Linked DNA regions of Alligator mississippiensis. The protein of the gene in region 2 purifies or fractionates together with the protein of the main gene of each other region. This does not show direct contact. Links are inferred from orthologs where the notes say so. Each region holds a gene or a part of one and is shown on either strand. Other genes may lie near its edges. The genes, in order: CCNB1, FOXM1 and MYBL2.

What was found.
Region 1: the proteins of FOXM1 (region 2) and CCNB1 purify together in Homo sapiens (affinity purification with western blotting; 4 studies listed by BioGRID, with this or other methods). This does not show direct contact. The link is inferred for Alligator mississippiensis from reciprocal best matches to the Homo sapiens genes FOXM1 and CCNB1.
Region 3: the proteins of FOXM1 (region 2) and MYBL2 purify together in Homo sapiens (affinity purification with western blotting; 3 studies listed by BioGRID and IntAct, with this or other methods). This does not show direct contact. The link is inferred for Alligator mississippiensis from reciprocal best matches to the Homo sapiens genes FOXM1 and MYBL2.

What each region holds. Positions count from the first base shown.
Region 1 is NC_081826.1:258,264,932-258,275,603, forward strand, and holds the start of CCNB1 (G2/mitotic-specific cyclin-B1), read right to left. Parts: upstream 3,975-10,672; 5' UTR 3,887-3,974; coding exon 3,866-3,886; intron 3,772-3,865; coding exon 3,595-3,771; intron 3,440-3,594; coding exon 3,305-3,439; intron 1,811-3,304; coding exon 1,637-1,810; intron 250-1,636; coding exon 91-249; intron 1-90. UniProt on the Homo sapiens protein: Essential for the control of the cell cycle at the G2/M (mitosis) transition.
Region 2 is NC_081827.1:143,898,582-143,908,505, reverse strand, and holds the start of FOXM1 (forkhead box protein M1), read right to left. Parts: upstream 4,772-9,924; 5' UTR 4,600-4,771; coding exon 4,227-4,599; intron 2,414-4,226; coding exon 2,262-2,413; intron 1,690-2,261; coding exon 1,483-1,689; intron 1,047-1,482; coding exon 918-1,046; intron 273-917; coding exon 228-272; intron 1-227. UniProt on the Homo sapiens protein: Transcription factor regulating the expression of cell cycle genes essential for DNA replication and mitosis. Plays a role in the control of cell proliferation. Also plays a role in DNA break repair, participating in the DNA damage checkpoint response.
Region 3 is NC_081832.1:22,458,967-22,469,470, reverse strand, and holds the start of MYBL2 (myb-related protein B), read left to right. Parts: upstream 1-6,429; 5' UTR 6,430-6,451; coding exon 6,452-6,507; intron 6,508-8,521; exon of another isoform or gene 8,522-9,726; intron 9,727-10,504. UniProt on the Homo sapiens protein: Transcription factor involved in the regulation of cell survival, proliferation, and differentiation. Transactivates the expression of the CLU gene.

The DNA.
Region 1 (10,672 bases), on a different chromosome or scaffold from region 2:
CATTGTTGATCAATTAGCAGTCAGGTTCTTAATGACAAGTGGCTGACAGACCAGCAGTTCTTTGCCATAGTTCCAAGACACCCCTCATACCTGCAAAAAACGGTCTATGATAGCAACTGTCAAGTACATGGTCTCTTGCAGCAGTCTGAATTTCATTTGCACCTGCACAAGCCAGTCAATGAGTATAGCACGCATATTTCCAGTGACTTCCTTGCCCAACAGGAATTTTGGTCTGATAGCTTGTTGTTCCTGCATAGGAAAGAGTTATAATTAATATTACTACAAAATAGAACTTTTGGTTAGAGGGAGGCAATGGTATCTGAGTCTTGAAGCCTGCATACTGCAATTGTTATGCACAATTATTTCAAGTTGTCCAGTACTTAATTTTAGTTACTGAATACTAGTGCTTGCATCTTATTAGGTTGAAAACCCTAGTTCTAGACTAGAGGCAGGCAGTTATTTTGGCTGGAGGGCCACTTAAGAAGTTTTGGATAATTGAGGGCTGCAAGGGTAGCCCCACCCCCTGGTTGCCATCTTGGGATGCAAAGCCTTGCCCCTAACATTGCCACTAGAAATCCCTCCCCTTGCCCCAGAAGTACACCTGGGGGGGGGGGGGGCAGGCAGGATCTATTAAAAAACAAACAAAACAACCTCTTGTTTTGTGTTTGCATAGTATTGGGGGGGGGGGGGGGGGGCGGCACGTGCACCAGCAGCAGTTCTGGCTGGCTCTGTACTTCTACATGCTGCTAGGAGTGCCAGGAACACCATGTGGAGGTATAGAGCTGGCCCAGCCCAATAGCACAGGGCTTGCCACAGCTTCTGGCACCATATACATGCTGTCCCACCCCCAATACATGTTGGGAAGGGCAGGAGGAAGCCAACCCTACCCATCCCATCTGCAGCTCTTAACTGCAGGGCGAGGACCCATATGACACAGCATGGAGCCAGCCCAGCCTGGTGGCACACTGGAGTCCCAGAAACTGTGTGAAGTCTGGTGCTATCAGGCTGGGCCAGCTCTGTGCCTCTACGTGGTGATCCTGGCACTCCAGCTGGGAGCAGCATGTGGAAGCACAGAGCCATCCAAAGTCCCATGAGCCCCATGTAGTGAGGCCATCACCATCAGTCCACCTCCCTTCCTATTCTCACCTGAATTTCCACCTAATCAGATGGAGGGCACACTGGGGAATAGCCACAGGGTCATCAGGGCAGAAGCCTCTGCTAGGCAGGAGCATGGCATAGAAGAGTGGGGCAAGTCAGGTTGGGGCTGGTCACAACACGACCAGAGTCTGAGCTGCTTGGTGCTGCACCCAGTGCCTCCTGCCACTAGCATCTTGTCAGGTAGTAACTGTTTAAGTTTCAAGAAGCCCTGTGGGCCAGAAGTGTCCCAGCAGGCTGGATCTAGCTTGTGGGCCATGTTTTGTCCACCCCCGTTCTAGTGAATGCATGCACTTGTCATTTAAAGGTTTGGCATATGTTCTGGTCCTGTTAGCAAGCTTGTAGGAACATCTATGACTAGACTCCTCTGTCAGCTAGTCCTTGTAGTTCTTTACAAGGGATCAGGGTAGAAGCAGAGTGCTGGGAGATGTGCTAGAAAAAACAAAACCAACCAAACCAACTAGTCAGCAGCCATACCAACCTCAAGAACTCTCAGGTATTTGTAGATATCCTTCACATATTCACTGCAGAGATTTGGGTCAGAACCATCATCTGCATCTACATCAAGCAACACATCAGAAAAGGCTTGACACAGTATTTCCTCCACTGGCATGCATCCAGATGTTTCCATTGGGGTTGGGGATAGAGGCTCCAACTACAGAGAAAGGAGTTAAATATATTTAATTAAGGCCATGTTTTTCAGCCATTTGGTGATCAGGCCTTTAAAAATAGAGTTTGACAGATAGTGTACAAACAGATGGAGTTAAGGGGACACCAATATTCAGAGCAGACCAGTTACTAGATATCCCAGTATTTTGCGATATGTAGAACAGCTGTTTGGTCCTTACTAACAGTGACAAGCTACTATTTCCAGAACAGCTGTAGACACAAGATGGTCATCAGTATTTCCTGCCACCTGGCCCTTTATTTTTCCTTGGGAGAAATATTTCTACACTGATTTAGGAGTTAGTTACACAGAACTAGGGCAGCATATCATTGTGCATCTGGGATCTTACAATAGGGCAAACAAGCAGCAATTAAACTAGAGTAAAACAAGCAGGCTATTCCCAAGCTAGTAGTACTAGCTCAGTGAAGCACTCTCTGGCAGAGTCCCCACCTCCCCCCCATAGTTTCCCTGGTAGGAGGTACATGACAGAAGCCAGGATCTGTGCTCCAAGTTTATGGGCAACTTTTAGTTAGTCACCGAACTGACAGCAGCATTTGGTGTATGCATTCCTACACTGAAACAGTTGCTGAAGGAAGAGGAGATCTACATTACAACACTTTCAACTCAGTAAAGCCTCAATTATCTGAGGTCAGACATTTCATCTGGGCTCCCCTATGGACTAGGGTCATGAAATGAGAGAGTGCTTGTTTGCAGTAGCTTAGGGCTTCAGCTTGCCCAATACTTTGGGAGGGGAACATTAATAGTTGTTTAGGTGGCCTGGCCCTAGGACAGCGATTCTCAATTAGGGTGCTACAGCACCCTGGGAACCTTGAGATCCTTTCTGGGGTACCATGCAAAGTCAGTACTATTAGGTGTACTGTGTGAATCCTCATTGCAAACGCCAGGACTTCAAATAGGAATCCATCATGAAACAAAAAACTTTGGATTTTAGGGGAAGGGGGGGTTCCAAGTTCTCTGCAACACAAGTATTGCTGTATTAGTTTTTCTATTTTCACTTTGTTTTTAACTTGGACTCTAGGCACCCCATGGAAGTGTCAGCTCTGAAAAGGTTGGACCCAATGGGGGGGGGGGGGGGGGAGGAAGAAGAGAGGGGCCTACAGAGGAAGAAGCAAGACAGAAAAAAAAGCCTTAGACTCAGCTCCTTGCCCTGGGAAAAAAAGCTCCCCCCCAATTTCCTTCTTTAAGGAAAGGAGACCTTAGCCTGCCCATGCCCTATTTCACCTGCAGGCAGGGTGCTACATTACTTCAGAACACAAGAGGAAAGACTAGAGACGGAGGTGCTCAGGTCCCACGCTAATGGCCACGAGTACTACTTTGGAAGAGGCCACCATTACACTGGCATTATGTGCCACTGAATTCACTTTGCTCCTTCCCTAGGGGAAGGGGAACAGAGGTGGAAGGTGGTGGGAGATGCAGACCGAGCAGGTCACAGCAGCCCCCCTTGTTTCCTTGATACCATACCTGCCCTGGTGCACAGACAGGTACCTTGGCAGGCTCTTGGGCCTGCTCCTCTTCCTTCAGAGGCTCAGCAGTGCCCTCCACAGCTTTTGCAGGTTTCCTGGCAGCAGGCTTGTCCTCAGCCGTGGGCTTAGCTTCCTACCCAGCAGGAGAGGGAAGTAGTTAGCCGAGGAGCCCCCTACACAGCCTGAAGCAAACCTGGCACCCCACCCCCATCTGCAGAGCAGACCCCCCCCACAAGGCTGGCTGGGCCAGGGATGCACGAGGTCCAGCATTCCCCCCTCCAAAATTACCTTCTTGAGGGCAGCTTTAGGCTGCGGCTCCTCGCACACGCGGTTGCCGATGTCCCCCAAGGCCCTGCGGGGCCGCAGGCCGGGCTTGGCCGCGGCGCCCCCCAGCTTGGCGCCAGCCACTGTAGTCGCCGCCCCACTGGCCTTGGGCTTGTTCTCGGCGCTGACTCTCATGTTGTTCTGCGGAGAGACGAGGCGCCCTGAGCAGCCGCAAGCCACGCGGGACGCCCCCGGGGAAGGGACCCCGACCCCAGCCCGCCGCCCCGCTACCGACCCTAGTGACCCGCAGCGCCATGTCCCCGCACGCCGCCGCCGCCAACACCAGCCCCTGCTGCGGCCGCAGGTTTAAAACTCGCACTGGGCTCCGCTCATTGGTTGCTCCCCTCCCTCCTCATTGGCAGCTCGACGTTCCACCCCCAATGCGTTGCCGCAGAAACCGAGCGCTGATTCTTCCAGAAGTTCGAAAATGGGGCGGGGCAAGGGAGTGGGGCGGGCTGTTGGTACCACGGGACGCGGGGGCGGGGAGGGAGGGGTGGCCTGGGCCTGGTGCTTGGCGGGGTGTGGCTGACTGTGCCCAGCAGGGCCGTGTTCCTGTAGTCTGGTGCGTCCCGTGGCCGTCTGAGCCGGTGTCCGCTCGTCTGCTTGGGCCTGATGGCCCTATAAAGCTGCCAGTGTTTGCTCCTGCCAGGGGTTGCATAGCTACCGAGATGGCTAGCAGGTCACCTGCTAGGTCGAGCTGAGCAAGACGATTTTGTCAAAACATCTGGATGATTGTGGGGGGAGGATGTGCAGAAAGACAGGATGCTAAGTAAGGCATGTAGGTACAGGTGTGTTTATGCAGATCAGGTTTTAGGGAAATATCAGTTTCTCACTATTGGATGACATAGTCTGTAAACAGCCAGTAGCAATAGTACAAATACTGAATAAGAAAGAGACAAAAGGTACAAAGAACAAAGGGTTCTTTGGGAGCAAAGGGTTGGATTGCTAGGCCTGAGCTTTTCAACTGGTGTGCCACATGAATTTGGGAATAATGAGAAGAAAATTCTGTAGCCTCCTAGTGCTAACGAACCAGCTGCATCAACAAGCCAGATCAACCAACTATTCACAGAAGACTGGTGCATGTGTTGACTGGGGGGGCGGGGAGGAGAGAGAACCGGCCAAGCAGAAGGAAATTCATCTGCACGTGTTGGCTGTAGGGGATGCGCAGTTCGAGAGCCTCTGAACAGCTGTGCCACGGAGTTTTGCCGTGGCAACGAGCTCATGAGTATGGGGACAGAATGCCTTAACAGGTGTGCCACAGAAAAAAAATGTTAATGTGTGTCTTGGGCTGGAAAAGGTTGGGAAACGCTATGGTAGCCAGTGCCTCTGAATAGTCCAACAAGACTCTGGACTATCTGAACATCATAGGAGTAGGATAACTAGTACATTTCATAGTATAAAATTGTGTGTTATCTGTTAAACCTACATTAAATGGAGTGGAAACTCCCATCTCTCGAGCATTCTTTCTCTCAACAACCCACTGGTTCCCTGATCCAAGGTTTTGGGGTAACACAGGTTGACTATTAGAAAATTACACTGCAGCTCAGTCTGTACTTCCCAAGAGAGCATGAAATACCAAAGTGGGAGCATGTAGTAGGTGGTTTTTAAAAGCATTGCTTCCACATTAACTGCTGCCTGGATCTTTTAGTTGATTAGCAGCTTCCACAGGCTCCAGTTCTTTCATAATATCACACAGATGATGATTGGTGAGAACATTTTGGTAACTCACCCTTCTAAGCTCTGACCAAGCTTGGAAATTGGCAGGCTCTAGCTTGTACAAGAGGAATGATGTGGGAAATCAGTTGTATTTTGTTTTTATTTCCAGCTGCATCCATGGGATATCAAACCATGTTGGGACCCAAGGACATTCATAAACATTTGTTTTTAATTTGTTAGGAACTTCTGAGCCAGTTTCAGTCTCTGTGAGTGAAGGGAGGACACCAAGATGACTGCTGTCTGAAAGCCAAAGTCTGTGACTTATTTGTGGAGATGCATAGGATAATTCCAGGTGGTCAGAGCAACAGCAAGAGCTCAGATACTGGTGGGAGGATCCAGGGATGGCTGAAAAATGAAGAAGGAGGGATCTGGGTTACATGGAAAGTGAACATGGGAGGAAAAGAGGTGAGAGCAGAATTTCATAGATTTCATAGACATTCGGGCTGGGAAGGACCCTGGAGGATCACTGAGTCCAGCCCCCTGTCCCAGGGGCAGGTAGTCAGTAGGGATCATAGGATCCCAGCAAGATAAGCATCCAAATGTGTCTTGAAGGCATTCAAAGTAGGTGCTTGAACCGCCTCTGGCAGTAGAGAAGTAAAGAAGTTCTTCCTTATGTCCAGCCTGCATTGGTCACAGCGAGTTTGTGACCATTCGATCTTGTCATCCCTTGGGGCACTCTGGCAAACAGACTTTCCCCCAGATCCTGATGAGCACCCCTGATAGATTTATAGGCGGCCACAGATCACCCCTGAACCTGCGCTTTTCCAGGCTGAAGAGCCCCATGGCTCAGCCTCTCATCATAAGGTCTGTTTTCGTGACCTCTGATCATGTGCATGGCTCTCCTCTGCACTCCCTCAAGCTTCTCCACATCCTTTTTAAGTTGTGAAGCCCAAAACTGGATGGAGTATTCCAGCTGTGGCCTTACCAAGGCCGAGTACAATGGGAGAATGATGTCCCGGGGTTTGCTTAAGAAACATCTATGGATGCAAGCCAGTGTTTTGCTTGCTTTACTAGCCGCAGCATCACATTGAAGGCTCATGTTTATCTTGTGGTCAATGATGACCCCCAAGTCCCTTTCATCTGTAGTGCTAACCAGCGTAGCACTGCTGAGCCTATAAGCATGCTGCAGGTTTTTCCTCCTAAGGTGGAGAACCTTGCATTTTTCAGTATTAAACACCATCAGGTTCTCATCTGTCCATTTCATGAGCCTGTCAAGATCTGCCTGGATCACCCTCCTGTCCTCAGGTGTGGATGCTTTATCCCAGTTTCTTTGCCATGGTCATAGCTGAGGGGTCAAGACATGGCTTTTGAGAGAAGCAGGATCATGAGCCACCTGGTGAGCCCAAACCACTTATCCACCCATGCCTATCTTGCACACAAGCCCCAGTTCAGTGTGCAAGAAAGGGGACAGATTCCATGCTGATGTGCAGTTCCATAACACGTGCCACTGCATCAGTGTCTTGCACTCTGCAGTGTTTGGTGTTGTTAAATGTTTGTGCCCCTATGCTTTTCATTGCACATCTTTTGACTGTGGAAGTTGATTGCAGCTGGATTGCCCAGATGTTTTGCCTTTGTTTGATCACAGATGGGGGTCTGGAGTGACAGTGCTATGCCAACCCTGAACTGTTTATCAGTACACCTGTAACAACCTGGGGGAGTACCAACTTTTACAGGGTGATAGCAGTACACTTTGGGCCTGTTGTTGCCCCTTTGGATGTTTTAGTACTCAAAGATGGAGCAAAGCTTACGCAGGTGTTGTTGTTCTCCTTTTATAAATGTTCTGAGTCTGCAGCTTTGTTTTATCATACTGTATCCCCATCATTCAGTGATCATAGTCTTGGTCTGAATTTTTTGCAGGGTAGGAGGATCAGCCATAAAAGATGGCTTTAGCTAAGTTCATGCAGTGCTGACTGTTTTTTTTCCTGTTCCTGGCCAGAAAAAGCCAGCTCCTAAATACTCACATCTGTACTATTGCTGTCTCTTGGTCACTGCTGCCACATATAAAGTATCTGTCAATTGCAGTTGCAGATTACCACGCTTCAGAGCACAAGGAGGCACCAGGGAAAAGAAGTTGGTCCTAGATCATTTCTGTTCACCATTCTCAGAGAAGAGACAAATTGTTTCACAATGCCCCATGGAAGTGAGTAGAGGGTGATGCAATGAGCTGTGGTGCTACAAACCATAGGTTATATCCCTGCAAAGCTTTGCATCTTTTTTGATTTTGTACAGTGCCATTGTGTGTGTAGGCTGTTACTGCATCTGTATGGGAATTGACTGCCGTTTCTAAGTGCAAGGTCATGCTGTTAAGTTAGGCTAATGTGATATATTAAATAAGGCGTTAACAGAAGACTTCTTATCAATCAGTTTTCAATGGAAAAATGGCTTTCAAGACAGTGAACCTTTTCACTAATGTCTGCTTTACATAGGAGAGTTCAACTTTCCATTAAAAATAACTTCATCCAAGGACAGTAAAGTTTTGATTTGGATCCACTGCTGCACTAGCTTATGGGAGTTTGTATTTCTTCTGTTGATTTGTGTTCACGTTCTCCATAGGTGGAGGGAGAAAATAATTTGTGAGGGAGGCTGATCGTGTATGTGTTGCCCCCTCCCTGGTGGGAAAGTCTGCAGAGGAAGGGGCCAGGGGGAGGGAGCGGAGCCCAGGATCGGGGCTGGGGCCCACTGCACCCCTTTGGCCACCCCTTCCCCTGTGCCTGGGGTTGTTGCCCAGTGCTGGCACTCCCCCGCACTAACCAATCTGCCACCTCCCCAGTCCCGCACTGCCTGGGGGGGCCAGAGCAGGGCCAGCCTTGGCTGACCCACTAGGCTGGAGGTGACGGAGCCCCCGGGACCCCTGTGCCCACTCCAAGTCATTGTTCTGCTGCTGCTGGGGCAGGTCCTGCACAGCCGCGACGGGGCACGGGGCACAGGACGTGGGATGAAGCCGTGACATCCTGGGGCACGGGAAGGAGGCAGCTTCCACCACTGCGTGCACCCAGGAGGCATGGGGGCCGTGTGTGGCCCTGGATCAGCATGGGGCAGGGCAGGCTGCCACTCTGGGCTGGGGCTGTATTGGGCTGTTCTGGGTGGGGGTGGGGAGGGGAGGGCTGGGCTGCGCTAAGGCCGGGCCAGGTTGTGGGGCAATTGGAGCCTAGCAGTTCATCCAGGGGCATGGGCAGGCAGCTCCTGCCACCGCGCACACCGCAGGGAAGCCCTGGGCGGGCATGTTCCCCTCCCTTGGCCCTCCCATGCCGCTGGGCTCTGATTGCCCCATGACCTGGCCCAGCTGGGGCCCCATCATGGTGAATGCAGCCCTGGCTAGGCCGGGTCATGGGACAATCAGAGCTTAGCAGCTCCTCCAGAGGTGCACTGCCGGGGAGCCAAGGTGGGGGCACATGGCCCCCTGATCTTTGGATGGGGCAAGGGTGGGCTGTAGCTGTAAGCTGGGCTCTGCTCCCTGCCTCTGCTCCTCACTGCAGCTGCTTTGAAAGCAGCACGGCATGGCGCCATGTGCCTTGCTGCCCAGCCCACACAGCACTGGGATGCACATGGCATTGCACTGCTTTCAAAGCAGCTGCAGCGAGCACAGAGGCAGGGAGCAGAGCCCAGCTTGCAGCTGCAGCCTGCCCTTGCCCTGTGCAAAGATCAGGGGGCCATGTAGCCCCTGCCTTGGCTTCCCAGTGCTGCCCCTCTGGAGGAGCTGCCAGGCTCTGATTGTCTCACAACCCAGCCTGGCCGGGACACCATTCACTGTGAATGGGGCCCAGCCGGGCTGGGTTGTGGGACAATCCCCGCAGTGCAGCAGGGACCGAGGCAGGGGCAGAGGTGAATGATTTGTCCCTGCCCCTACCTCACTCTCTCCTGCACTATGGGGTTCTCAATCTGCCCCAAGTCCAGGCAGTCATAAAAAAATCAGATTGAAAGAAACTTACCTGCCTGCTGAGCCAGCTGCGAGCCTGGCTGTGCAGGGTATCTGAGCGTGCACACCACTCCCTCCCTGCAGCAGCAGCCTGCAGTTGGGCTCCTGTCCAGCCATACCTGCTGCCCTGCGTTTGAGGGGCTGAGCTCTGTTAGCCCCCACTCTTCTGCTGCTTATGACATTTTCCTACTTGGTCAGATTGCATCTCTCCTGATGCACCACAGTCTGGGATTCCTATGATGCACTGCCTTTTCTCTCTAAAAGGGAATTTGGTGCTTATAGGACATGAGTAGGACTATGAGGCACCAGAAGAACAGATTATTTGAGACACTACAGCAGCATTTGCAGAAGATTGCATTGAAATTCTCAAATGAAAATGCATCATTATGAACTTTTTGGAAAAGCAGATCACATCTTCTGACCAGCTGAAATGTTAACCTGCTATAATCCAACTCAATGTTCACCTGCTGCTATTTCAAAGACTTCAAAAGGCAAAAACTAGGATTATTTACTCTGGAGAAGAAAAGATTGAGGGTTGTTTGTTAATAGCCTTCAAATACCTGAAGGGCGAGTAGGAGGACGGAGATGGGCTTTTCTCTGTAGGGAACAGGATGAGGAACAATGGCCTCAAGATGCAGTAGAGGAAATTTAAGTTGGATATTAGAAAGAACTTTCTGACTCTGAGGCTGGTCAATCATTGGAATAGGCTACCTAGAAATGTTGTAGAACATCCATATGAGGAAATTTTCTAGAGCAGGTTAGACAGACACTTAGCTGAGATGGTTTATTCAGGGATGATTCTGCCTCGAGCAAGCAGCTGGAATAGATGACCTCATGACATCTCTTTCAGCCCTACTTTCCTTATGCTCCTATAAAAAGAAAGCCTCCAGACAAGAGTACTAAGAAAGAAACAAGGATCCTAACTTTCACACACTATCCAAAAAGAGGATCAGGCATTATGAGGAAGGATTGCAGTTAAAACCATCTTCATGTTTAACAATGGAGCAGTTACTCAAAAGCAGGAAGATCCTAGAGGGTAATTTGATTATGCCTGATAGAGCTGCTGAGGTGGCACAGTGACTAATTGCATAGACCATCACAAAATATGTTTGTTTATTGTAAAGGCAGAACTTAAGCCTACACAAAAAGAGGGGTATAAGGGGTATGATTTTTTTCTGTATATGGACAAAGACAAGAAGAAATAACCAGTGAGATGCTTTACTGTGGAGCTAATTAGCTCTGCACTGAAGCATCACTGTCTACATGGGCAGTGCTATTAGGCCAGTTAACTAATTAACTCCGCTGTAGGACAGTACTGCCCAACATAAGTACTACCCTACAGCAGCATAGTTACAGTCAGTGAAATGTACATGTAGACAAGTGATGGGGCTAGCTGGGGCACAAGGGTGC
Region 2 (9,924 bases):
GTCCCCAGAGAGATGCCCATGCTGCTGCAAACTTGCATCCATAATTATCAGGTCTGCATTTTCTGCAGGCAGTTAGAAAACTCGCCCTCAGTTTTCCCAGGCTGTAGACATGCCTCCTGTCCTCGTGAAGGGTGACCTGTTTCCCCTCCCAACTATTCTGTCCTTTTTCTGCAGTGACTGGCAGGAGGTAAAGCAGCTCAAGCCCCGAGCCAGAGGGAAAGTCTTACTGATTCAGAGTGCTCAGGCGACGTTGGTGACCCCGCATCCAGTGGCTGGTGGCAGCAAGGCATCAGGAAGGAGAAAAATAAGAGGATGTTACCAACCAAAGGGGGAAAACAACTGCGACATTTAACCTGGTTCCCATGTTTGAGCAACTAACCACTGAACATGCACATCTACCACATAGAACATGGGAAGAATTCACCACACCTATTCTGAGATAGAAATGGAGAGAGCTTCCCTTTTATAATGCTTTCACAAGATGATGCTGTTCTACAGCTCCCAGACAGAAGGAAATTCTGCCCCTGTCCCGTCAGAATTAGGAACTGCAGGAAGAAATAGCTCGAGTCCCACTGTAGGTAATGCAAGTCTGCACTGGGAACTTGCCTCTGGCTCTCGGAAAGTGTATGGCCAATAGCTTGACCTCCTTCAGGATTCACGTGCCAAGGCTGGCACAGTGCCCAGTGGAGCCTTGCTTCCAACATGCTCCAGCACATCACTCCTGACCAAAACAAAATGCCTCCTACTTCAAATAAGGAACCCACCATTTCTCAAGTTAAATGACTTAGTTGAAGCTCTAAAAACACAGGCCATACGTCAAGGCAGCTTTACCTCCCCGCTAAAGTCAGCTGCAGCCAAACATCCTGGAGTTCAGGAATCAGGAAAGCCATCCTGTTCCCTTCACAGGAGGCACTCACCTTAAACACCTGGTCCAACGTGAGATAGCGATTGGCATCAGGGTGTATAGTCCAGAAGGAGATTTTACCATTAGCAGACGTCTCACGGACAAACATATCATGAAGGGATAGGTTGTGTCGGATAGAATTCTGGAAAGATACAAGACATCTTAGGGCTTTTGATTACAGAGTGCAACTAACATCCTCAGACACTACAGTCCAGGGAGCGAAGCTCTGCCCATGGCAGACTTTGATCCAATTTATTTACCATATGCTTGGTCTTCTTAATCACAAAAGCTGCTTGCTCCCCTCACATTTAGGAGCCCAGCTCCCAGCCTAGTGATCAGTTATCCTCTCCCCTGCCTGGCTAGAGCAGGAAAGAGAATGGTGGAGAGGTTGAAACAGAAAAGGGAATGTCAGGAATAGAAGGTGGCACTTTATAAAACTATTTTCTATCCTGTTTCACAGGTTGATGCTTTTTGACTGGGTAATTGTTTTTCTATTTGCATCCAACAGTCCCACTATAGTCACCCTGTTATCTGACCTCACCCACACAAGTGGACATGACTGCTGGACAGCATATTACCTTCCAGCCTGGCTTGGCCACATGCTTGAAGTAGGGGAAGTGATCCTCAATCCAAGTGTAAATGTCCTTCAGGGTCATACGTTTCTTCTCAGTGCTGTTGATGGCAAACTGGATCATGGCCATGTAGGAATAGGGGGGCCGTTCTGATATTGAGTCCTGCCATGAGGAAGTGGAGGTTGAAGCAACAGCACTAGAATCCTCCTCTATCTGGGAGAGAAAAGGACACAGTGATAGTTGCAAGTTAAGGAATTTGAAGCCTGCTGCACAGCTCCACATTGAATTGCAGAAAAATAGAGCTGGAAGGGACTACAGGAGGTCATTTAGTCTAAACCCTTGTTCAAGATAGGAGCATCCCTATCTAAAATGCCTCATCCAAGTATTTGTCTAACATGCTTAAAAGCTTCCAGTGAAGGAGATTCCAAAACCTTTTCAAATAATCTTTTCCAGAGTTTAACTTGCCTAGATTGGTTATTAGGATGAACTTTCTAACCTAGATTTCCCCATCTTGTAATTGAAGACCACTACTTATTGTCCTGTTCCCAGTGGATAGAGTCTCCGTCTTCTTTATAAGCAACTTATTCTTTGTATTTGAAGACTGTTATCAAATTCCCCCTCAGGTTTCTTTTCACCAGATTAACCACCCTCCTTCCATGGGGAAAAGGCTTGTGTTATGTCTGTCGCCTCCAAGGTTTCTCACCTATGTATCCCATCTCCTTCCCCTCTCCAGAGGTTTCCTCTATCTTATGCTCTACTCCTTTCATCCCTAGAGTGCTTCTTACCTTGATTCCCTCCACCTGTACAGGGGTCTGGTTCTCTTTCTCCATCTCTTGTTTCACAGTGGAAGGACTCAGGCCATCAGAGCTCATCCTTCCCAGCCACTGGATGTTAGTTAGGCTGTTATCCAATGCACAGCTTGTCATCTCTCCACTGCCTGCAGAGAAATCGACCCAGAGCATTGCTCACTTATCTGCAAATACATCTCAGATGCCTTGAAGGACACCCCAACCAGGAACCTCAAAGGTATCTTCAGTGCCCCCTTAAGACATAGGTACACAATAGCACTACAAAGCTAAACAACCTTGTGGAAGTAGCCAGAGTTTGTGGTTTAATTATGGATGGGCCCTACTCCCAATTTGTAGCTTCAAGCCTAAAAAGCTAGCTTTAATTGGAATCCCTCCTCCCACCCTGTTCCTTGAACTAAAATGAGTTTCTGCTGAAAGCAACTCTTAACAAAAAGAAATTCAGGCATGTACTAGCCAGAGGACTAAACTTAGCAACAGAGGCCATGAGAAATAAAGACATGCACTCTACCAGCAGAAGCCTGGGAAGGACCTTAATGAGCTCAGCTCCTGGCAGGGATGCATGTGGTGGAGGGAGAAGGGTGCTGGCCTTCCTACTCTAGTTTGACCTCTTGCAATTACTTGAGCACCACCTCTTTCCTCAGGTTCTAGCTCACAAACATCCCAAATTGTAACTGTTCCATGTGAACTGTTCCATCTCCTCCATCCCCTAATGCCTGGAAAAGGAAGAAAGTCTTTTCAACTTTCCTTTCTCAAACTGCTGAAAGTGGTTGCTATTCTACCTGTCTGCCAGGGGCTCTTGACCATTCTGAAGGAGGTGAAAACATCCCACTTGCTCCTTCCCAAACTTCATTTCTCCATGTAAGCAACTCCATTGCCTGCTGCTCACAGCTTTGCCAACCTGCAGCATCTGCCCCAGGTTGATGTGATTCTCAAGAGCACTAAAGTCTGACTGTCTGCAAGGGCCCTGAACAGCAGTAGCAAAAAGTGAATACATTTATTTTCCTTAGTCTAAGAGCCACATGCAGCAGCAGAGCTACTACCTACAGACTGTGGAGCACCTGTACTGAGGCACATTTGCACATGTGGGAGTTTATCTACCAGCACACACATGAGACAGAGGCTTCTTTTTGTTAGAAGAGTGTATTTGTCAGCAGGCAGTGGTTGAGGTAACCCCATGGGGAAGAAGCCCAAATGGCCATTCAAGTCCAAGCTGAGAAAATATAACCTTCATCCCTGGTGTGGCACGGACCAAGTTTCTTCACGAGGGGGTAGCAAGGAAGAAGCCGCAGCTGCCAGTCCAAAAGCAACAGAGATCTCCCTTTCCTGGTATCTCTAGCTATGCATTTCATAGAAATCATAGAAAATTAGGGCTGGAAGGGACCTCAGGAGTCATCTAGTCCAACCCCTGCTTAAAAGTAGGACCATCCCCAACTAGATCATCCCAGACAGCTTTATCTAGCCAGGTTTGGAAAACCTCCAAGGATGGAGCTTCCACCACCTCTCTGGGTAACCTGCTCCAGTGTTTACTACCCACCTAGTGAGAACATTCTTCCTAATATCCAACCTAAACTTCCCTTGCTGCAACTTGAGACCATTGCTCCTCATTCTGTCACCACTGAGAACAGTCCAACCCCGCTTCAGGTAGTTGAAGGCTGCTATGAAGTCCCCTCTTCTCTAGACTAAAATGGAGTGATGTCAAGTGCCCAGCTCCCCACCTGGCTCCAGCCCCACATCTCCTAGCAAGCCTGAAGCCCAGCTTCCAAAAAACCTTTGCTCTGCTTGTCTGGAGTGCCCAGCCTGTACCGCCAGCCCCAACAAGCCCCGGGGGGAAACAGACCACTAAGACTCCGGCACTCAGGGCCGGGACTCCTGCCCCCAAGCGCGGCCGGGAGCTTCCCCGTACCACCCCCGCCCGCCGCAGGCCGCGCAGAGCCTACGTACTGCTGCCGGCCTGGCCCTGGCCCGGGGGCCCGGGGTCGCTGCCGCCGGGGGGCAGGCGGCGCGCGGGGCTGGGGGCAGAGGCCAAGGCCGTGCCCGTGCCGCCGCCGCTGATAAGGATGAACTTGGTGGGCCCGTCGCTGCCGCAGCCCTTGCCCTTGGCCGTCAGCACCTCGATGACGCTGCGCAGGTCGGCGCCGGGCGGGATGGCCACCACCTGCGTGCGCGGCAGGCTCGGGTGCGCCGTGACGCGGATCCCCGCGCCCGCCAGCTCCGCCGCCGCCGCGCCCGGAGCCCGTCGCGGCGCTTCATCACGGGCGGCGGGCGGCAGCCGCCGCCGCTTCAGGATCAGGGGCCGGCGCGGGCTGCTCCTCATGCTGGACCCGCGCCGGCGGTCGCCATGGGCCGAGCCGGGCCCCTCCCCCGCGGGGCCGGGTGGGGGGGAGGGGGGGGTCCGCGGCCGCTTCCGGGCTCAAGCGCTGCCCCTGGCGCCGCCGTTCGTGTCTCCGTTTGAATTTGGCGCCCGGCTGCTCGTTGGCGTCACGTGCCGGCCGCGGCCAATGGGAGGGCGCCCGAGCGTTCCATCCGGGGCGCGGCCAATCAGTGCTCGCGGCGGCTCCACGCAGATGGGAGGGGGTGCGGACCCGGAGGCAGGTGGCGCGGGCGGGGCTCAACTAACAGCCACCAAGCCGGGACCGGGGGGCAGGACCGCCCATAGGGTTGGTAGGGCCCGTGCCGGGCCGGCTGACGCTGGGGGCTCTTGCGGGCGGGCTCTCGCGGGGCGGTAGGGCTCGTTCCCGCAAAGGAAGGACGTGCGGAGGGGGCGGGTCGCTGCTCCGATCCGGCCGCACAGGGGTACGCAGGTGTGGCCCTGCCCCGTTTGGCTCTGAGGGAAAAGGGGCATGAGGAAAATGGGCAGTAGGGCGGGGCCGGGGGCGTGGCGACATTAACGGCCGCTTGCTCCTCAGCAGCCGAACGCCCCGCGGCCAGGTGCTGTGGGTCCGGGGGCCGCACGCTGAGCACGGGTGGGTCTCAGACGTGCCCACCTCGGCTTTTATATGTAGGTTGGGGAAGGAAGTAAGTGTCTACTTTGGTTCCTCAGCCGTGAACAAATAAATAACTGATTGGACCAAAGAAAAGACCGTTGCCTCTGTATGTGCAGAAGAGGCAACCCACACAGAAGCTGGCGCAGCACTTCAGCAAACTTTTCTGTAGCCACCTAGTTTGGTGGTTTCACATTAAAGTGTTGGTGGGCAGTGTGCACCACGTTACTATTTTCTTTTGTTTTAAAGGATTTCAACAATGTAGGGATTAATGTAGGTTGCCATTTCTAACTTAAACTGAAAAAGTCATCAATTTGTATCCAGCCTAGCTCTGTGTCTGTAGAGCAATGTATTTATTATTCCAGTCTTCATTAGAAACAGTTCTTTTCAGAGAGCTTAGGCACAATCAGAAGCATTACTTTTTAAAAGAAATTCAAGATTGCTTGGTGGCCTCAGGTCCCTCCGTTTGTTCTTTGCAGATCTGGGAGTAGCTGAGAAGTCTTCCTCTTCTCTTGACTAGCTCCAGCAAGCATCATGAAGTCTCTAAGTGGCTTCCTCAAGCCTTTTGATGCCTCCAAAGAAAAAATGCACCCGCAAGGCCAAGAAGCCAGAGCTGCTCTTCCTTGAGAGGCCACGGGAGGGATCTGTTCATCATTATGGGTCTTCTCTTCCTTTGGCTGAGAACCCAAGATGTGTTCCTACCAGACCCGTAGACCAGAATGCCTCTACTGAGTGGGTAAGTACAGGTTTCCTGCTCCTTCATTTCATACAGTGTTTTGTTTTGTTTCTCTTTTACAAGGTAATGGAGAGATCTGTACTGGATATTGGCACGAGCCAATAAATGGGTGCTTTTTCTTTATTTCCTTGTGGTTTAACTAGCTGTAGAGTTCGGAGTTGCTCCAAAGCCCACTCTTGCAAGTCACAAGCAGCTCAAGCTTTATTGCCACTTCAGGTACTGAATGATACTTTAGGGCCACTGGCAATGAAACAGAACTCCATGTCATGTACATTAGCATAATGACATTGAATACTGGGATCCAGAAAGAGAAATTGCTTTATGGATTTTATAGTAATTCAAAACCCTGTGCACAGAAAATAAAATATTTATTCTTTCATTTTTATTTTATGGATTTTTTTTTTTTGATACTTGAAATAGCTACTGTGCTGTAAGTGTGGTTGGCTGAAAGCTATGCCTAAAGTAATACCTGCCTGTTCAACAGGGATCCTGGTTTTCTCTGTTTAAAAAAAAAAATCCACAATTTTCAGATTTAAAAAAGTAACTCAAAATCCACATTTTTCTGTGATTAAAATGAAATGCCACTAATTTATATATAGTAGTGTTTCATTTTGATCATGGAAAAATGTGGATTTTGGTTACTTTTTTTTAATCTGAAAATTGTGGATTGTTTTGATCGGAGAAAACCAGGATCCCTGCTGTTCAGTTAAGGTGCTAGCTCCATTTTTGTATGCCCCTAACTGTAGTTCTTCTCTTTAGCATTTATTTTTATGTCTACTTTAACAGCTTGCTTTTCTGCTGTCATTCATACAATAATAAACCAGGGACTGTTGATGTCTGTGGCATGGAGTTAAAATTGATGTTGTACCTTGTAATGAGCTGTAGTTGCAAGGGAAGGGAAGGTTGGTACATTTGACCCTTCCCCTTCCCCCAGCTCAGTTTGTATTTTAATCTTCTTTCCATGCATTCCTTCCAGCGTCCCCCTCCCATGGGCTGAGAGGGCAATTCAGTGTCCGTTTTATTCAGTCTTGCAGTCATTTGCACTGCCTGCATGATGCCATTCTGTGCAAAGATTTTTAAATAGTTGTGCTGCTGTACTGTGGGAACTGCCTTGGTTTTAGCTGCAGCTATCACTTTGGGCAGCTCTGCTAAATAGCATTGCTACTTTGGACTCAAAACTTTTTAACAAAGCAGCCCCAAGGAGTGAGGTTTCAAGTATACATTTGAACACTCCACCAGCCATGCAAATTGGAGTTATTTGAGGTCAATTTCTATGTTGTTTGCTGCGGGGGGGGGGGCGGAAAGAAGTTCAGAGCAGATCAACTTTAAACATGTTGCAGGCAGTCAGCTATATGGCTTCTAAATCAATAAGCAAAGCACTTGCTGAGATGAGAGAGAATCACTGTGGATCTGGAACACATTGGAAAATATCCCAATATCTGGAGATGTCTGAGAAGTAATGGCTGGGTAACTAGTATTGCAGTTATTGGGCTAACTTCTCCTCTGACTTCTCCTGACTACTTATAGTGAATCCCAAGTTAGGTCTCAGGCCTCATTTCATCACTTGAATCTCAATTGCATGAATCTCCTAGTCGTAAACATTTCCTGGGGTCTGCAGTCCCCTGTGTGTAGAACCTGTGTATCCTCCAATTGTTTTGATTGGAAATCTCGAAAACAGTGGGATAGGTACTTGCCATTTTTTTTTCCTGTTTGACTTAGGTTATGGCTTGTGAAATGTTGCGCAGTAATTTAATGCATGAAAGAGACTGGTGGTTTCTAGAGTAATTTAAGAATACAATATCAGAATTCACCCCTATAATAGGTGACTTAATTATTAAAAAAAAAACTTTGAATTGCAAGTCTTCTTTGAAAAGTCTCTAAAAATGGCTGTGTGGATTCTATGTTTTTTGTCTCCATTACTGCAGAATAAATGTCCCTTTTATAAATAAGATGTGTTTTGTGCAGTGAAACAACCTCAGCTGGGGGTCTAAGAATCCAGTTAGGCCTCTTTAATACTTATCCTTCACCTACAATATTCTGGCAGAAAACAGGACAGGGTGGTGGTACCTTTAGAGATTGGCTTCTGCCTAGCTTGAGGCTAACATGGTGACTTGCCTTTTAATATTCTGGTGTCAGTTACACCTGTGCTGCTGCTTTGTCTTCCTGGTTGTATCAACAAGACTGGTGGTTTGTAAAACACAAGAAGAAACAGAATCCAACCTGCTCTTTGAACTGTGGAGGATTCAGTAGCAATTAAAGATTTATTCTATCACTAAAATAGATGCATTTAAGTATATTCAGAGAAGATAGCACATTTAAAACTGCATTTCAGAGTAGAACTGCACTTTGTGGCTATGTGAGCCTCCAAATTTTTCATGCTGTCTTGAGTGTCGAACATAGTTTGCAGCTGAGGAAATCTCGGTAAACTAGACCACGTGCTGGAAGAGGCAACGGCAGCTCTCAAATGAAGATCAATAGATACATTAGAGAAAGGGGAAGTGCAGTGAGAATGGTGTTGCTGTTTCCTTGTGGAGGAGCCAAGGAGTGTGAGGGGTTATCCCATCTGAGAGAATGGTTTTTCACCATCTCTGTTTGGCTTTTCAGGTGTCCCCGCAGTTTGAAGCCACTCTACCCATGGGCTTCAAGGGCAAGGGAGGTAAGAAGCAAAAGCATGTGTCCAAAAACTTCCAGATCCAGGAAAAGAGTTATGGATTCCTTCAAGGAGGAGGAGCTGGTCAGAAACCTGCTGTCTGCAGATTTCCTTCTCTAACTTTTGAGAATCCAAAAACTTCTACCTGTACCTGCACAAGGCATTCCAAAACTAATGCAAAGGCATGCCATGCCCAGCCCAAGACAGGCTCTGCAACAAAAGCCAGCAACCCAAAGAGCTTTCGAGAGAGAACCTCTCAGTCTCCTATTCAAGAGCTAGAGATCTTCAGTCCACCAGATATACAGACTCCAGAACTGTCATCTGCAAGGAGCCTTGATCAGAGTGGCACTGTGTCACCCGTGAATACCTTCCCGCTGTATGCACATAGTGATGTCACTGTCTGTGCTGACAGACTGGAAAGCCATGACTCAACATCACTAGTCAAGGACACCCCAGAACACCAGTATGGAGTGAAGGTAACTTGGAGGCAACGGCCTCACCTATTGAAATACCTGAGAAAGAAGGGGAAGCTAAGCAATAGTGACATCATGGTGAAGATGAGCCAGTACTGACCTGAGCTCCCAGGTACAGGCAGCTGCTGACTGGAGCAGAACAGGAGTTCAGCTGCATCTCCTCTGTGCTGGTGGCTTAATGCAAGGAGGTCCCACTGGGAGATGACTCTGCAGGGATGAAGAGAGAGATGCCTTGTTCAAAGCATGGACCTAAGCCCCAGTGAGGCTGAGACTCCTTACTCCCACCGAGAGGTGCTTCAATCCACTGTGTGGTCCAGCTGTGAATGTCTCTGGGAGGGGGGAGGTGGTCCAGCTTGAGGCATCCTTGCCTCAAATTTGCTGCTCCTGGCAGTAGCTTAACTAAGAGCAGTGAGGTAAGAAGGGTACCAACATAGGGGATGCCAGAATGATGCCCTTTCCTTCCTCCCAGTCTTAGCTGGAGCAGCCCTACCTGCTCAGGGCATAAGAGCTCAGCTGGAAGCCATGAGCCTGGCTGCAGGGACATGGTTGGAGCTACCCCACACTACCCAGCCCTAGAAGCTGAGCTGGAAAAGCCCCCACTGCCTGGCCATAGGAGCTGGGGAAGGCACACAGCCGTGGGGGGGGAGGGGGCTGGACTCCCTAGGGCAGGTAAGCCACAGCCCCTGTAGCTGGGCAGTAGGGGCTGCTCCAGCAAGACGGTATGGGGTGAGGGTGCATGGGGTTGCTCTACATGCAGCTGAGCTCCCCCCATACCCAGGGGGCTGCTATTCACAGCGAT
Region 3 (10,504 bases), on a different chromosome or scaffold from region 2:
CATCTGAGGCAGAAAGCCACAGCTGTAATTATTTCTTTTCTTTTTTCAAGTCTCCCATGTGGCCTCCTTTCTCTGGCACCAGCTTTCTGTCCAACACTGCCATCCCTTTTACCTTTGAAGTCGCTTCTAACAAACATTCCTTTTATCTTCTTGAAAAACTTTCTTTCATCTTCTCCAAAACACTTTAGAATGCAGGGGTGCTAAAATAGCAGTGACATTGCATTTCTAGGGTGAAGGGATCTATTCTTCCTTCCCCAAGCATCTAGCATGTTGATGGATGTTATACACTGCTGGGAAGAAGTGTATGCAACTTCATTGATTCCAAAGATTTTTACTTGCTTATGTCATTTTTTCTTTTTTATAAACAGTAAAACTATCTAAAAGTTCTACAGTTGTCTTAAGACGCATACAATCTAATGTCCTAACTCTGTTGCACTGACAGTTTTTGGTCAGATTAGCTTTTTCTATTTACCTTTTCACTACTATCATCTGGCTGCTATGGTTTTTATTTAAAATTACTCCTCTCACTCAAATGCACCAACTTGTATGTTCTCTGTGAATGTTTACACAATAAACCTAGTGTTTCCAAAACTATCAATCCCACCCAGCAAATTAGTATAGGCTCTAGTTGCTACTTATCCATCCAGCCTGTACTATTATTTTGTGTTTACAGTTAAAGTAATTTATTTATTTATTTTTTTGCAAAACTTTTCAGACTTGTTTTGCTGCCTGTTCTTGATGTTTTAACATGTTTTAGAAGCAAGGCAGCTGAGGGGTCAGAGTGTGTAACCAGCACCATAACTAGGATTTGTCCTTCCCCATCTCTGCATCCATCCATCATGGCTTCTGTACAGATTTCACACAGACATTAGGGCTAGAAGGACCTTGGAAGATCATCAAGTCCAAACCCCCGCCCGAAGGACTGGAAGTCAGCTGGGGTCATAGGATCCCAGTAAGATAAGCATCCAATTTTCTCTCGAAAGTGTTCAATGTAGGTGCTTGAACCACCTCCGATGGCAAGCTATTCCAGACCCTGGGGGCTCAGACAGTGAAGAAATTCTTCCTTATGTCTAGCCTGAAACAGTCTTGCAGTAGTTTATAACTGTTTGACTTCACCATCCCTTGAGGTGCTCTGGTGAACAAATGCTTCCCCAGATACTGGGGAACACCCCTGATAAACTTATAGGTGGCCATCAGATCACCCCTGGGCCTGAGCTTTTCCAGGCTAAAGAGCCCCATAGCTCTCAGCCTGTCGTCGTAAGGTCTGTTTTCTTGACCTCTGATCATGCACATGGCTCTCCTCTGCACTCTCTCAAGCTTCTCCACATCCTTTTTGAATTGTGGGGCCCAAAACTGGATGCAGTACTCCAGCTGCGGCCTCACCAAGGCCGAGTACAAGGGGAGAATGACGTCCTGGGATTTGCTTGAGAAGCATCTATGGATGCAAGCCAGCGTTTTGCTTACTAGCCGCAGCATCACATTGAAGGCTCATGTTCATCTTGTGGTCAATGATGACCCCCAAGTCTCTTTCTTCCCTAGTGCTAGCCAGCGTAACACTGCCAAGCCTATAAGGATGCTGCAGGTTTTTCTTCCCAAGGTGGAGAACCTTGCATTTTTCAGTGTTAAACACCATCAGGTTCTCATCCGCCCATTTGCTGAGCCTGTCCAAGTCAGCCTGGATTGCCCTCTTGTCTTCAGGTGTGGATGCTTTGCCCCAAAGTTTGGTGTTACTGGCGAACTTGGCCAGCTTGCTTCTGACTCCAATGTCCACATCATTAATGAAGATGTTGAACAATATGGGTCCAAGTAAGAATGAGCAAAAATGCCTTTGCGTATTTCAATCTAAATGGTTGCAAGTTGTAGACCAGTGCCACTTGTACATATGACAGGGGTTTAGTTCTCTCTAAACTGAAACGGTGGGTTTTTAACAATTCAAAACCCACCAACTTAAAAACCCACTGTTTCAATTTAGGGACTTCCATCACTGTGACAAAACAGTGAAAGCCCACCAGCAGCTCACCCCCCCCCCCCCCCCCGGGTCACGGGTAAGCTCTGCCAGAGAAGTGGTGATGGGCCAGATCCTTTTATTTATTTATTTTTCTTGGAGCCTGTCTGTCTCTCCCACAGCCGGGGTACAAGCTGCCAGCAGGACTTCAGCTGCAGGGGTGGGGAGGGGCTGGTCTTTCTCTTTTGTGATGGCCCAGGGGGCATGACTGCTCCTCCCTCCCCTGCAGCTCAGGGGCTGAGCGACCCAGAGGCAGCTCGTATGGACAGGCTCTGCTGGTAGGGAGGGGAAAGCAGTAAAGGGCCTGATCCTTTTTTCCTCTGAGCCTGCCCACATCTCATGTGGCCAGGGGTCAAGCTGCTGGCAGGCTGAGCAAGCCTTCCCCAGTTGTGGGCTACCCCAGTGCCCCCCCCTATAGTGGTGGCACCCCCAGGTGGGCAGGTGCTGCCTTTACAGAGGGAAGGTCCAGGGCTGCTGCAGCTCGGGGCCTGCGGGCAGGCAGCTCACCTGCCAACCACGGGAGAGGCAAGCAGGCTCTGCTGGACAACCCCCCCCCAGAATGGGCCCCTTGCTGCTTTTGCCTCTGCAGAGCCTGCCCATGCAAACTGCTGCCAGGTTGCGCAGCCCAGTGGTTCCCCGCAGTGGGGCTGCCCAGACGGGGTACTAGTGAGCCGGTGCTTCCCCAGCTCGCAGGCAGCACCCAGCCCAATCCAGTGCTCAGGGAAGCTCGGACTTGGCGGGTTTGCCATGCCCTGTGTGTCATCCCTGCTGCCTTCCTGCTGCTTGGGACTGCCTGGGAATGAGCTGGCTTGCCCCTGGGGCAGTGTAGGAAGGTGGCAGGAGGGCAGCTATGTATGCTGGCGGTTGGAGAAGGCAGCAGGGATCATGCACGGGGCACTGGAAGCCCACCAAGGCCAAGCTTGCCCAAGCACCATCCCTACCACCTTCGGATATATCTCTGCAGTTTGTTTCATCATAAACTAAAATATACTTTTTACTTTGCTATGTAACAAAGTAATTTAAAGCAAAATACAGCATGATGAAATTAAAACAAGCCACTGCAGGTGTAAATGGTGATGCCATTAAAGTGGTGCAAAAAGGTAATTAAGCTGCTTCAAAGGCAAATTTAGTCACACATCCCAGGATTTTCAGGGTTAAAACGCAGAGCTAATACTGCACTTTCTTCCTTAAAGCAGAAAGTGGCATGCTAGAGGCAGACCATAGTACCCAAGCACCTTTGCTAGGAGCCCTCTACTTTCGTTGGAAGGGCTCTGGATTATGTTGGAGTTATCCTTTCTTTCTCATTTAATCCATTTAACACATGAAGAAACCATTATACATCCTGCAGCATATGGATGAGGGTTTAAGAGCTGTAGCTAGTGAGAAGATGGGGATTTACACAATCACAGTAGTCTTAACATTCAACAACAGTGGAACACGATAGTTAAAAGATAGGGGGCTGCAGTTTTAGACTGGCTTTAGCACTGTAAGCCCCATTTCCTATACTGCCACCAAATAAATAAATAAAACCACAAAAATCATAGGTTGTTTTTCACAAGTAGAGCTGTAGTTTAGGTAGGACTGAGTTTTCACTGAAGCCATTCAACCCCTTTCACAAGCTGGGCCTTCTGCATAGTTGTTAACTTTTGGGATTTACAGGCTTTAAATTACTTTCATCCCCACCTGTTATCCTCTGTTGTGTGTTACTTACTGCACAGCCTCTTGCTGCTCTACTTGTTCACCCCATGATAATCTGCACACCCCTGCCTCCTCCCCCTACAGAGTTTCAGGGGAATTCCATTTTCAGTACCATCCTTCTTGCCTCTAGATGTGTGGGAGCTGTTCCATCAGAATCCATTCTGCTACCAAGAGGAAGCATTTTCTTTTCTCTCATTTTCCTAGCACCTTAACAGGAGCTTTCCACTAACATTAGCCAAATCTGATAATGGTTAGTCTGATCCCTCCACCTTCTGGTGGACTGTCACTTTAGAAACAACCCAGCCATAATTTGAGAGAGGGCAAGTACATCTGTTGTCATAATATGAAGGCTGGATCTGGGTGAGGCCCATTGTTGTTAGTGTCCAACAGCTGGAGTTGTACAGGTGGAAATGTAATGATGGGGGAAAGACTATTCAAAGTTACACCTATGCAGAGAGTCCATGGTTATGTATTAGCTACTTTGCAATTTGTGAATGAATGAGTTTAAAAGCCATCTATTAATGGAATGCTGATCCCCATTTCACTGCCAAGTCACTACCATCTTCTCAAGCCCCTCATTTTGACACAACAACATTTCTGCAGGAAACAAATTAGTATGGGATTCTCTCCTTTAATGTAAGTGGCTCTCCATCTGTATCCTTAGTCATGACTTTTTATATGTATTGTAAGTAATCTTAAATTTAAAAAGGAAGGGGAACAAATTCATGCACAGTAATAAGGATCTTTGGAAGATGATGCACCTCAAGATGAGGGTCACTGGAGAAGTTAATCTTAAGTATTGCCACTTCCTTCCCTAAGGCTTGCAATGGGCCATTATATAAGATATAGAATAATGTCATTCCTACAGCTAGACACCTCAAAAATTCCCACATTACGAAGTATTTCAAATCATAAATACAATTATTTTAAGAATCATCTGCAAATTAGTCCTGTGTGAGACCAGCAGATCTGTAAACATTTTGGAGTGGGAATGTTTTTGTTTTTTTTTTTTTTTTATAAGAAATTAAACCCAGGCCCAGAACTTATAGGATTTGAAATCTGTCCCCAGCTGTATGACCTTGGGCAACTCTGGGGCACCCTTGGTGCCTGAGTTTCCCCATCTGAATGACAGGTATAACACACTCTCCTTTTTGCACTCTCACTTGGAAATATAGGGCCTTTGTACATGCAACAAAATTGCCCTTTAAAGGGGCTTAAGTGCCCTTTTGCACCGTCTTAATAGCGTTGATATTTACACGCTTGGCAGCGTATTACACTTTAAATGACTTTTTAGCGTAGCAAGATAAAACCCATCCAAGGTATTTCAGTTTGATACCTAACAAAGTGCAATGGTGCATAGGGCACTGGAAGCCATTGTGGTTGGGGAAGCTCAAGCTTGGTGGGCTTCTAGTGCCCCATCCCTACTGCCTTCTCCCACTACCAGCATACCCAGCCCCCCTCTTGCAGCTCAGCCTGAGGGGCAAGCCAGCTGCTTCCAGACAGCGAGAGGGTGGTGGGGATGGTGCATAAGGTGCTGGAGCTTATCCGTCTCTCCTGGGGGGCCAGCTGTCCTGGTGCTTCTGTCTGTGGTGGCAGTGCCCCCCAGGCTGCACCTGCTCACTGGCACCTGGCCCAGGTGGTCCCAGGGGGCAGCACCACTGCAGAGGGAAGTACTGGGCCCTGCGCAGCTGAGGCAGGCTGGCAGCTCAGGGGTGTGGGGCAAGCTGCCAATGGGCCAAGTGCTCCCAGAGCTGGAGGGGACCCCGGTGCTTCCCTCCATGGTGGTGGTGCCCCCCCAGTGGCACCTGCCCACTGGCACCTGGCCCAGGTGCCAGTGGTGCCCCTCAGGCAGCACCTGCCCCTCCCCTCCCCCCAAATTCAAGAATGCCTGCATGAGCTGCCACTAGGTCCCACAGCCCCCAAGCTGTGTGGGGCTTGGTGCTTCCCGTGGGAGGTGGTGCTGCTCCCTAGGACTGCCTGGGGCAGGTGCCACCTGAGGGGTGCCACTGCAGAAGAAAGGACTGGGATGCCCCGCAGCTTAGGGACTGCTCAGCCACCAGCAGCTTGCTTGCCCCTACAACCCCCTGCTGCAGGAGAGGCAGGTAGGCTGCGGGCAGGGAGGTGGGGAAAGGATCAGGCCTCCCTCACCCTTGTACATGCATTGTGGGTTTAGTTCTCCCTAAATTGTAACGGTGGATTTTAAAAAACCCACCGTTTCAATTTAGGGAGAACTAAACCCCAGTTGCACATGTACAAGCACCCATAGGTGTTACATTCTTCAGGGGTGATCTGTCCCTCATTACATGAGTCATTAACAGTGTGGCTCTGATCTTTGTTGCTATCAAAATACCTTTTCATTTGTTAAATACCTGCAAAACCATTCATCTTCAGTGCAAACCCTTTCAACAGTAGGCCCTTGTGCTGTCTGTCCCATCTTTTGCCTGGCTGAGCACCCATAGCACTCATGCTGTTTTTCTTCCTGTGTGCCTGAAGAGGGATGCACAGCAGCAGTGAGCTAGCAGCATCTCTCTCCCACACTGCCGGCCCTCCTGTCACATGTGTAGGCAGTAGCTCTCCCTTACTTTCAGAGCGGCTGTGTTTAGAGCTGCGCAGCCACTCGCATCTAATTCTGCACTCGCCCATTTTCTCAAGATACAAGGGCTGTCATATCTCCTTTGCAGGCATTGCCTTGAGCTGTGATAAAGTAAGGGGGACAAATTAAAAGGACTGCAGGATGCTGAGTGGGCCATGGCTGCTATCCTGCTGCAGTCCACCACTGAAACCTTTCCAGGATCGTTTTTGAGGTAACTTCTTTTTTGTCTTCTCAGAGGTGCACATTTCCCCTGTGGATCACGGAGGAAGCTGGGGTTTATTTAACAGGAAGAAATTCTGACACATGGCAACACTGCCCACCACCAGTTCCTAGTTAGCACACGTGTTGTTTCACACTGAAGAACTGTCAGGGTACATGGAGCACTTTCACTTCATCAGTACTAGAGAAGTGTCTGAGTTTATTTGTGTAGAAACAGTATTCCCTTTTTATCCCCTCCCCTCCTTCAGCTCCTTGCTCCTGAAGTTATTCCAGAAGACAGCAGTGGGTGTTAGTGAGAGACAAGCCCATCTAGTACCTAGTTAAGCCAGTAGTTCTCCTACCGTCAATACTCTCTCTCTAAATGCAGGATGCTGGCTTTGATTTGTTCTCTTTTCAGTTCCCCCTGCTCCATCCATGATCTCCGCTGCCCTAGCCTCGCAGTGTCCACCTGTCACTTCTGCCTGTTGCCAAGACTGCCTTAAGTGCAGTATTTGTGCCTAGTTGGTGCACAGGTTCACTCAGAAGAGCCCTCAGAAGAGGGTCAAGCTACTGCTTTTAACTTCACCAGCCAAGCGGCATCAGCTAACAGGCTGTCCCTACAACACTTAGTCCTCTTTTGTGAAGTCAGCCATCTTGGTTCTTTGTGTCTTACATATCCCATGATGCTTTAACTCTGCATTAAAGATGGACCAGTTTAGCTGCATCTGGAGCCTCTGTTGGAGCACAGAGATTTAAGTAGGTACAGCTCCCTTATAACCAGCGGTCAGGGTAGGGGAGCTGGGATGAACAAGCAGGTGGTTTCCAAGATAGCAAGAGTCAAAATTTAAAGCCTCCCCTAGAAAAAGCAAGAGACCTTAAATGCCACCTTAAAAAAAAAGTCCAGGAAATTGTGTAGGACTCCTGGCCGGTCTACCAGAGCTACAGCTAGCCCCATCTGCCAGAGCTACAGCTAGAGGAACAGCTGTTTCATTTATAAAAGATATTAAAAATTCATTAGAGGGTTAAGGGATATTTTTTCCAGGACTCTCTCAAGCCAACTAATAATAACCTGCCCTGCTCCCCCAAACAACAACAAAACACAACCCAAAACTTGCATCCTTTTTCGACTCCTGAGCTAGGTAGTTTTGTACCCTCAGAACTCCAATACTCATCTTCTTTTTACAGTTGGGAAGTTAAGTTGCTAGCCTCACTGTAACCCAGCATCTCCTGAGGGCATTTACATTTTGTATTACCTACAAAGAAGCTAGTTCAGTGAAGAAAGCTATCACTTCCTGCCCTAACCTGGACTATGATGTCCACTATTCTTAAGGAATGAGGAAAGCTCTGGCTATTTCAGAACTCATGGTAAATTTTGATGAGTTCGGAAGTGTTGCCTAGCTTAAAGAAGCAGCTTACAGTTCAGTCAGGCCATCAGGTAGTAAGAGTCTCTGAAGTCTGCCATTTGTTAAATTATTAAACAAAAAACGCTCCAAAAAACACTCCCTCCCCCAATGCTGCTATATTTGCTCCCGCTGCCCAGCACCTTAAAATTGAAGGGATTGGTAGTGTTTTAAGTATATTCTCAACATCCCTACAGTTACTACTGTTAACACTTCCTTTTTTCTGCATAAAAGGAGAGAGAGTAGAATATAACCTCTGAAGGATACTCTTACACACTTGCTTGTTTAGTATCTCTGGATAGCCCTCCCCATTGCCGGTGTTTGAAGGTCTGGAAGTATAGTCTTAGTAAAGCAGATGCATCTTTTTATAAGTTACTGCATAATTGCTATAACAATCCCATGCACACTTAGGTGTAGTGTTACTCCCCAAACTCACCTGATTTAGCCTTCCTGTGCTGTTTATTACTTAGTATCCCAGAACTGAACTATCATTCTCCTAAGCATTATTTTGTCAGGATCTCACTCTGCCCTCTTCCAATTTAAGCCTCTTGCATGGTAGAATTTATAGAGTGCCTAATTAAATTACTTTGAATAGCGTCTCCTATTAGAGCAAAATCAAAGTGCGAGTTCAAGTGACAGTAGTGCTTTATTCAGTAAACAAAGTTACTCAGAGCCATTATAATCAAATCTGACAAACCTCCAGTAATTCATTACTATATAGACAACTATAGACCAAAATTAGTGTTTGTCCAAACACAAGCATCCCTACAGTTCAGTGCAGTAATTTAGCTTTAAGTACTAGCCTCTTTGCATGCTGCAAATACACACTGATGTGTCATAGGTTGTACTCGGCTAGTCCATCTCTCTAGATTTTGAGCTAGTGGTGGGGAGAAGGAGTGGCAGCTGTGGAGATGCAAGCCAGCTTCAAAAACACAGCAACTGATGGTCAAAGGCAAAACAGAGTCAACGCTAAAAACTCTGATAATGGAAGTAGAAACTCTTCTGGTGCATTCATCATAGCTTTGCTCTACAATGTAGAATCATAGGTGTTGAGACAGAACCACAGCTACAGGCTCTGGCTCACTTATCATAACAAATAGACACCAAGGCAGGAATACAGTGTCTTTTGCTAGTAGCAGCCCAAGGCAAAATAATAGCAGAGGAAGACGTCTCCAGAGATAAGGCATCTGTTTTCACAAATCCCAGTGATCTTGGCTCTTCAGCACTCACATCAAGGGACAGAATATTGTCCAGAGGGGCTTGTATCTCAGATATTTCCAATATAGGTGGGGGTGGCCTCCTGATATTTGACAAATCAATTACCGTCTCTGAGCTCTTGGAGAGCAAGTTCTCCATTGACTGGAGGCACTTCTCTTCCCTGCATGGTGTAGAGGACTTAGTATCATAATATATATCCACAGTGTAATCGACTCTGCTGTATTCAGAAACCAGATTGGACAAGTCAAAGGCAACATGACCACTCGGGGTCTTGCAGAAGGAAGCAAGGCCACCATCACAAATGCCTTGGATCTGACTGTGCAATTCACCCTTCATACTGCTGGTCAGAGAGGACTCGGGTCTTGTGAAAGTATGCTGAGGACTGCCTTTTATCATCATCATGCTTTCCAAGTCAAGGAGACCATCCCAACCATCTGGCTTAGAGGTACTGTTAGTTTCTGTGTAGTTATTAACTGGAGATGAGTAGGTATAGCTGGAGACACCTGCCACAAATCCAAGTTCCATGATTTCCTTTAGTGTCATGATACTGGCATTGCTTCTGTGGATGGATGACATTGTAGAGCCTTCCAAGAGTCACTCACTCTTCTAAAATCCTAATTGCATCCAACAGAGAGACAACTTGTAAGCAGAGGAAGCCCCAAGAAGCATGTTACTGTCAATTAAAGCTTGAGAAAGGAGCAGATTAGAAACTTGAGGTTTTAAGTGCACTGGTACAGGGATGTGAAAGTTGGCCTTATTCCCAATATGGAGGCACTTATACCAGCCTGAGAGAGCTTTCATCAGAAGAGCTTGTTCTAGTTTGAGAATTGGAAGACAGAAACCACCCAGTGCCACAAACACAGGCAAGCCCAATACAAGTTGCCTTTATACCAATATAGTTAGCTTGGGTAAAAAGCCTACTCCTTCAGCTAGCACTTGCAAAGAGTTCTACCAGTGTATGAACCAGACCTTGTGCCATTTCTCTTTACAGGGGTGTAGGTTGTAGCTGTGTTGGTCTAAGAACATGGGCAGACAAGGTTCTTTGGGTGAATCGGATATCTTTTATTAGACCAACCTAAATAGTTGGAAAAAAAAAAATTCCTCTCTTTGCACATTTCTCTTTACATGTACCTTCCCGTACCTTGTAGCTTAAATTTGATACGAACTAGAAGTTATTTTGTGGGTCTGTAGTTCAATTTTACATCTCACTCAGCATCATTGTTTTGAAATTGAGCTGTGCAGCCAATACTGAAAATATTGGCCAAATACCATCTGACAAGGTGCCAAGACTGCTTAAGTGGTTGTCCTGGGAGTCAGTCAGACAAATTATTAGCTTGAGCATCATATTTAGCTTTCATCTTTACAATGGCTGAAAGAGTTCAAGCGATTGCA